Bombyx mori: one gene and its partner. The protein of the gene in region 2 binds, or shares a complex with, the protein of the main gene of each other region. Links are inferred from orthologs where the notes say so. Each region holds a gene or a part of one and is shown on either strand. Other genes may lie near its edges.

What was found.
Region 1: the proteins of gamma-tubulin complex component 3 homolog (region 2) and gamma-tubulin complex component 4 are in contact, whole or in part, in a cryo-EM structure (PDB 7QJ0), measured with the Homo sapiens proteins. The link is inferred for Bombyx mori from reciprocal best matches to the Homo sapiens genes TUBGCP3 and TUBGCP4. Residues at the interface, in NP_006313.1 of Homo sapiens: Arg252, Asp253, Tyr256, Gln259, Ile261, Asp262, Lys264, Arg305, Ser312, Leu313, Arg315, Leu319, Gln322, Ser323, Cys325, Ala326, His329, Arg333, Tyr336, Arg337, Ser340, His343, Ser344, His424, Pro425, Tyr593, His595; in NP_001273343.1 of Homo sapiens: His35, Pro36, Ser37, Glu38, Ser40, Val41, Arg44, His116, Leu117, Ser118, Ser120, His121, Tyr124, Phe125, Asp127, Gln128, Leu131, Pro134, Lys159, His160, Cys162, Gly163, Gly164, Leu165, Pro166, Arg169, Leu630, Ser631.

What each region holds. Positions count from the first base shown.
Region 1 is NC_085125.1:5,625,242-5,629,429, reverse strand, and holds the start of gamma-tubulin complex component 4, read right to left. Parts: upstream 2,801-4,188; 5' UTR 2,695-2,800; coding exon 2,632-2,694; intron 2,400-2,631; coding exon 2,273-2,399; intron 2,158-2,272; coding exon 1,860-2,157; intron 1,402-1,859; coding exon 1,224-1,401; intron 555-1,223; coding exon 349-554; intron 184-348; coding exon 57-183; intron 1-56. UniProt on the Homo sapiens protein: Component of the gamma-tubulin ring complex (gTuRC) which mediates microtubule nucleation.
Region 2 is NC_085121.1:10,746,061-10,749,560, forward strand, and holds part of gamma-tubulin complex component 3 homolog, read right to left. Parts: coding exon 3,326-3,500; intron 209-3,325; coding exon 1-208. UniProt on the Homo sapiens protein: Component of the gamma-tubulin ring complex (gTuRC) which mediates microtubule nucleation.

The sequences.
Region 1 (4,188 bases), on a different chromosome or scaffold from region 2:
ATATAAAGACTAATAAAAGTTCATTTAAACATCAACTAACAAAAAAACAATGTTACCTTAGTTACACATTCTTTAATCTCCCTTATAACACTTCTCAGATTATGAACTTCAAAATTATCTGGATCTTTAAGTTTTTGTAGTTTCTCATGAAATTCAGATTCTTTGTCCTCCCAAATTGTAAACCTGCATAATTTATTATAAAATATGTGCTTGATTTTCTTAAGAATTCAGATGCACAAATAAAACCAAAAATAATGAAGTATTTGTACATGAAATTGTTAATTATGTAGTGTGACCTCACCCCCACTGTCACCATCTATATTCATAATAACATTGTAATTTCTTTACCTTCTAGACTCAATTCCATACTTTTTCAAAGGCAACATCGGTCTGCTTGAAGCGAAGCCACTGTGTTTTTTTACTTTTTTTGGATCTAAATCGAAAAGTATTACAGTTTTTCCGATAAACAAAATTTCTTGTGCTAATGACAATGGCATGAAATGTGGTATCAGTGTTGGATTGAGTGTGTAACCACAACCTAATGTCTCCTGCAACTGAAATAAAATATTTTTATATTACTTAGTAAGGTAGGTATGGATACACCTATCTCACCTGATGACTAGTAACAGGAAAGTCCCTGTTGTAATAAAAGAAGCTGACTGGTCATTCTACCTATCACTTTCTGTTAGTGTCGTAAAAGGTTACTTTGAATGGGTAGAAGCATTCTCCGGGTATTATATCATAGTAGTGGGATCGCCGTGTACTTATGGTACGGCATATTGTACTCATACAGGTAGGTACTATCATACCTTTTATCTTGAAACAGTCCTGCAGACAATAAAATTGAAACTTCTGATTTCATGTCTCAAAGGTGGCTGTAGCATTCACATTATGATGTCTAAGGGCTCGGGTAACTACTTAATATCAAAAGGGCCCTTATTGGAATAAAAAAATAAGAAGTTGCTTAAAAATTACCATTATCAGGATCTGTCACACATTGGGGTCCTAAGATAAATATGATGTAAATAACATGTTTATTTATAAATGGGGCTCACATATTGAAGACATAAATGAAAATATAATCATGCAAATAATTGTTACTCTACCATTTTGTGTCATCTTAAGCCGCTTTAATTACTTTACAATATTACCCTACGTACATAATTATCTTATATATTATTATCTTTATTCATATCTTTACTAAATAAAAAAAATAAACTTACTGTAGAAACAAGAGTTTTGTCACAGACATTAGAAGAAGATGGTGTTGACAATAAAGTTTCTGACGAGTCATCTTTTCTTTTTGATATGAAGAACTCTTGATACACATCCTTTAATTCCCCATAAAGAAGCCAAGTACATAGTTGATGTATGAATACTTTGTTCACACTTGTAAATATTCTGTAATGTTTAAAATTACTTTTAAATATAAACTAACAGAGTTCCTTTTTGGTGTCTAATTTTTTAAATGTATAAATAATGAAGAATAAATTAACCATACACACATCTTCTAAATAAACTAATACCAAATAAGCATTTCTAGTATTATCATTGCTTTTAGTATGTTATATCCTAAATTAAAACTGTTTTTAGTAAACACATGCATTTATCATTATCATTATCTTGTTTCAGGCATTTGAAATCATTTTCAGTTTTCATGCTTAAAGATGAAAATAATATAAGACAACAATAAATGCAAGATTAACAAGATTACAATTATTTAAAAATTAATATGACCACAAATTAAATTAACAAAATTTAGAGCTTTTCATTAAAAATACTTAGTAGTCTGTAAATACTGAAATACTTTAGTCTATATAATTATATAACTATAAATATCTCAATACTTGAAAACTTACTTCAAAACGGCATCATGAATCGACTTGTTGCCACTTAAAATATATTGATGAATTAAACTCAATATCTGACAGCCCATTAATCTCCTTTCTTTAATAGTTGTTATAATTCTGTTCAATGTATTGAACAGACCTTGATATTTCTCAATGTAACTATAGACATATGATAAAGTGTAGTTGTGATTCCCTATTACTAGAGATTCAACTTCTACAAGTGTTTTCTTATATGATAGTAGGACTTCAGTGATGCCTTCACTTAGTGCTTGGGTATAGAGTCCATATCTGTGACTGTGTGTTGTTGCTGCAATTAATATTGAAGTTTATTTTACAAATTTGTTATAAAATGCTATTTGATTCTAATGGAATTTCATTAACTGTAAATAATTATTACAGAAAAGACCTGTTACTATTCAAACCTGATAAAGCTTTTCGGGATTGGAATCCAGTCTCTTCTACAAAGGATTGGATTCTATGATGGCTCTTTGCTATCTCACTTAATCTACCATAGATTTCAACATCACCCTCATTCGCATAAGCAAGGTTCTGCAAGAAATAAAAAAGACAGGATTACAATGAACAACTGTTATTTTATCACTTTGATTTAATACTATTTTGCAACCTTAGTATATGTCTAATATAAACGTAATCCACCTTTCAATATTATGAAACAGTATACAGTTGTTATTAAATTACAAATACAGTAGTTTAATGGCCAAAGTATGTATTTTTATAATTTAATTTAATCTAAAAATTATATGCATCTACTTGTACATACCTCTTTTTTTTCGATAGCATTTTCAGATGAATCCCAAAGAATTAATAGTACGTCATGAATCATGGTTTACCAAAAAATAAATTAAATAGCATAAGGACCAGCAAAACTTGTGAAGTTTTTAAAAGTACGGTTTTATCGGTAGGTAGGTAAACAAAATTAATTGGATACTTTTTTTTAAAGATTGTATGGCCTGGTAACGAGACTTTTAAGCAAACTCTTTTTTTCGTAGTGTCTAATCTAATCTATTTCTATGGATTAGGCACTAATATATTACTACGACAACAAAAACGTAGTTTGACACGTAAAGTAAAATTAGAAGTGGCGGGAGCATCGATGTTAATTTGTTTGAATCGTTTAATTTTGTCACTTTAATTTTTTACCAAGTTTACATGAATGGTAATTGTCGTTTATTGTGTGGTAAAAAGAGTCACTTTTTTTTCCTACCTAATCCGTATATTTTCTTACATTAATATTAGCTATTCCGTACATTTTTTTCCTATAATGATCTTGAAGTCTATGCCAGCTTAATACAGTTAGATGGAACCTCGGGGCTCATCTTGAGAGAATTTTGCTCACAAGTGCTACTAGTACCTACATTTTATTTATTATAGCTCAGTAGACATTCAAATTTATGGACTCCAAGAATACCAGTGTGAACATTTTTTTTTCCCTACCTAAGCTGATAGCCTTGAGAGGCTATTTCAGCGGAACCTTAACTAGTAGGTGAGCTCACGGGGCTCAAACCTGACGACGTTGCTAACACGACCCCTAGCAAGAGCCGTGCTTCGCAGAATCTACCACCGGATCGGAAACGCGACCCACTGAGAAGATCCGGCGAGAAACTCAGTGGACTGTGTCTGAGGGTTAATTTACTCGTCGAGCCCTTCGTCGCAAGCGATGGGTTGGACGAGAACGGTGACCGATGTGTGAACATCGAAGTCTACGAGTATATATAGGTCTACCAGGATCTAATGGCAAAAAGGGAAAAAAGAAATTGACGCTAGCAGTATTGGGGAAATTGGAGTAAAACGTTTTGATACTTTGGTTTTCTTATAGCGGCTGATTCTGTGTGATACATGCAAATATAAAAATTTATGCAATGATCAAAGATTATTTTTGAAAATCTTACTGTGTCGAATGTGGGGTTCGAAATTTAGATGAAAACTCCAATTACTCTGTTCATGAATTTATTAATTAATTATAGGCTATTAGAATTTGAAAATGGTTCCAAATACTGCACATCCATAAAAATTCTTCATCGGAAGAGGAAAACGAGGAAGGCGCAGTATTTTTGCCACCTTTCCTTTTTTTACCGGGCGTACTAAATACGCCTCTGTTAGATCTGCCTTCAGCAACAATTCGTCTTATGGTAGTATTAGAAACACCTGGTATAAGCCAAAGTTTAGTACACATAATACACACGAAAATGCAATAAACCAAAGTATCAAGACGTGTCATTCCTACTAACCAGTCAACGCTTGCACATGGCTCAATATCGATGATTGTCTCTGTTCTGTACCTTGTTCATCAAGTATTCTTTGATAAACATTGAAAACA
Region 2 (3,500 bases):
TGGTGTATCATGGCGTGCACGGAGTGCTGGTCGAGCGCGCGCAGGTGCAGATGCAGCAGACGGTCGAGGTCGGTGCGCGAGGCGGCCGCGGCGAGCAGCTCGGCCCAGTCGTCCTCGGCGCCCGCGCAGCTCGCCTCCTGCAGCGCGCCGCACACCCGCAGCGCCTCCGCCCGCACGCAGCACACGCGCCGCATCACCGCCCACACCTCTGTCACAATCACGATTAAACCAACATTACATCACTTTTTTCCTTCCTATGCCTATGTATATCGACGCTTGAAAGGCAAACGTGACTAAGCGAAAATGCGTGAGCTTTACAGTAGACTAATTTAAAGTTGAAATACCTGAAAAATAAATATATTTTAACGAATCTAGCTGTAGGATTGAAATGATTTTAATAGACCTAGAAAGAAATTTTTTTTTGCGCATCGAATCATTTATGTACAAAGCAGTTATAGTCGCTTAGTCACGTTTGCCTTTCAAGCGTCGATATATCTAGCCTCGAGAGGCTATTTCAGATTCTCCTTGACGTGTAAGTCGTGACGAGCTTACGGGGCTCAAACCGGAGTAATGCTAACACTGGCCCTAGCAAGAACAGTGCTTTGCAGAATCTACCGCGGGATCGGAAACGCAACCCACTGAGAAGATCCGACGAAAACTTAGTGGGCTGTGTCTATGAGTTAATTTACTCTCCGAGCCCTTCGTCGTAAGCGACAGGTTCGCTGAGGACGGTGACCGCTAACATTGCTTATTGTTTGGAAAAAAAGAACGGCGGTATCAGTGAGCTCATACCAACAATAGTCAAGTTTCTTCTGTCTGATGTTATTGCAACTTGTTAAACAAATACTTATACAAACTTATTCTTTATTACAAAAGTTATTCGCAATGGGTTTTGATATATAAAAATACCTACAACTACGAATATATTTGGGCGTTTTGGTGAAAACACGAGGAGCGAAATTATCTAAACAGTCTTATTTTGTTAATTTAAATTTTTTTGAGTTTAAGCATGTAATAATGGCCTTACTAATCTTTTAGCATCTATGAAAATGTATAAGTTTCGGAAAATCAAACAAAGTATCTAGACTATCTAGATCTATCTAGATACCTTCAAAAATCTCAACGAAGTCTTAGTAAACTATCATCATTTTACTGGGACGTTATTTCTTTTCATCTAGATTCATTCCATTTCATAAATAATTTTCATTTCATTCCGTTCCATTTTTCATTTAAAGTACCTATATATTATGTAATTAGTACATTGTGCAAGTACAGCATTGTGCAAGCAAGCACAAGTTGTGTGGCAAACACGCTCATAAAAAAACCAATTTAACTGTTTTTTAATTTGTAAATAAACTACTACTAATTGAATAAGAACTGTCTGATGAACTCATCTTTGTTTAATACTTCACTATTAAATTTTATTGCCTCTTGTTTATTTCACTTTTACACTAAACACAATATTGCAAATTACCCGAGCACAAAAATGGCGGAGAATTTTAGGTGCGTGAGAGCAGACGTAGACACTAACGCGCATGCGCACTTGTACCCAGGGAGAAAACGTTACACTTTCTTCCCTGTACAGCGGGAGGAAAACCGAACTTTCGGCGTAGGTACCGTACAATGGGGTAAATAGGGACAAAATCGACCTTCAGATTGAATTTTAAAATAGTTCCAATTAAATAGTCACTGCTCAACCAAAGAAATAAGTTGAGTCTTGAACGTACCTAGGTGATAAAAACCGTTACATTATTTTAATTATTCATTTTAAAGAAATAATCGGTAAAATAATGGCCGTCCCAATTTACCCAGCGTCCGGGGTAAATTGACACGGTTAAGGGTTAAATTGGGATATTTGTAAGGGTTGTCAACTCGCAGTACTGCGATATATAGGTAGGTGCCATATAATTATTTATATGGACCGAAATGATGAATACAATCCATAATTTAAGCACAATACACAACATAGTGTAAATTAAGCTGGTTTCTATTCCGAAGCGATGTGACGTGAATGATAATCAACAATACAATGATCAAAAAAAGTATTTGCATGTTATATTTTAGAAAATTATTATTAAATTTCCTTAAAAATCACAACTCTGAAACAAAATCATAAAATAGAATAAAAAATAGAAAACAAAAGGACTGGAAATGCAATAATACAATTTTATTTAATCAACATTTTCAAAATAATCTTTGAGCAAGAGTAAGATATCAGGTGAATAAGATAAAAAAACAGCTTTATCTGATTACTGCCCATAATAACAAAAATAAAAGAAATTCTTTCTAAGCGAAATAACTAAACTCAATTAATTCACTCACTCATAATTGGATATCTCGGATTTTTAATTAATGTTACATTTAAAATCTGAGGCCTGTTTTTATTTGTGTGTGTTCGTTGTGAATGTTAACAAAATCATGATTCGATGCGTGAATAGATTCTAAAATAACAAAAGTTTTGATTCGTTTGAGTTCTTTTAACTTTTAATTTTTTTTATTGCTATAAAGAACATACGACCGGGCAGATATTACAAGGTAAATGTCGCGAAAAAAAAGTAATTATATATATACTTTTCTTTTACCTATAATACTTACATAAACTAACTGATAAACACATTAACCTTCTTTACATCACGCAATTAAGGGATAGTATAGGCTAAAAAATCTATTATAAGATATCAGTGACAACCCTAACAAGCCATCCCTATTTTGTCTTTTGGCGTTCCAATTTTGTGTTTTCTCGTCCCTAATTTTTCCAGTCTCGTTCCAAATTACCCTACATACGTCCCAATTTTCCCCAAAAAGAAAGGAAAAAATATACATTTTTTATTTTGTCGAAATATTGTATTTAAAATAAGAATATTGCAACTTACCGTTTGTTGTGGTATTTCCAGGTGTATTAAAAACTTATCTAAACTGTGATCTTATTGAAAAAACAACGTTAATATCACTTTTTTTAAAAGTTCTTTAAGCTGTTTTAAAACGCACTTTTTAACCACTATTTTAAATTTAATTTGACGAATTTTTGGGACCAACTTAACTCATGTTTAGTACTTCCATAGTTAACTTGGTTTTTCTTCTATACATTGATAAATATTACCTTAAAGAAAATTAGGTAGATTCCGTGCTACAAGTACTTTAAGAATCTTCCGCAGGTTTGTCCCAATTTACCCCAGGATCCCAATTTACCCCATGTCATGGTAGGTGAAAAAATATTTTTTATTTATAAAATCGACACTGGCAACAATGCCATCGCTAGAAGCTAATTGCCAAACTGAAAAAAAAAAAGAGTACATTCGCTGTATACACAGAACGTGAAACTGACCGGGCATGTGTTTGAGTCGCTTGTGCAGTATGGTGTGTTCGCGCCAGGCGTCGTGCAGACTGTACTCGATGCGCTTGACGCGCCAGAGCTGCGTGAACAGGGCCCGGTAGCGCGCGGCGCACGTGGCCGGGAACAGCGTGCCCAGCGGCCCGTCCACGCGGTACTGCAGCGCGAA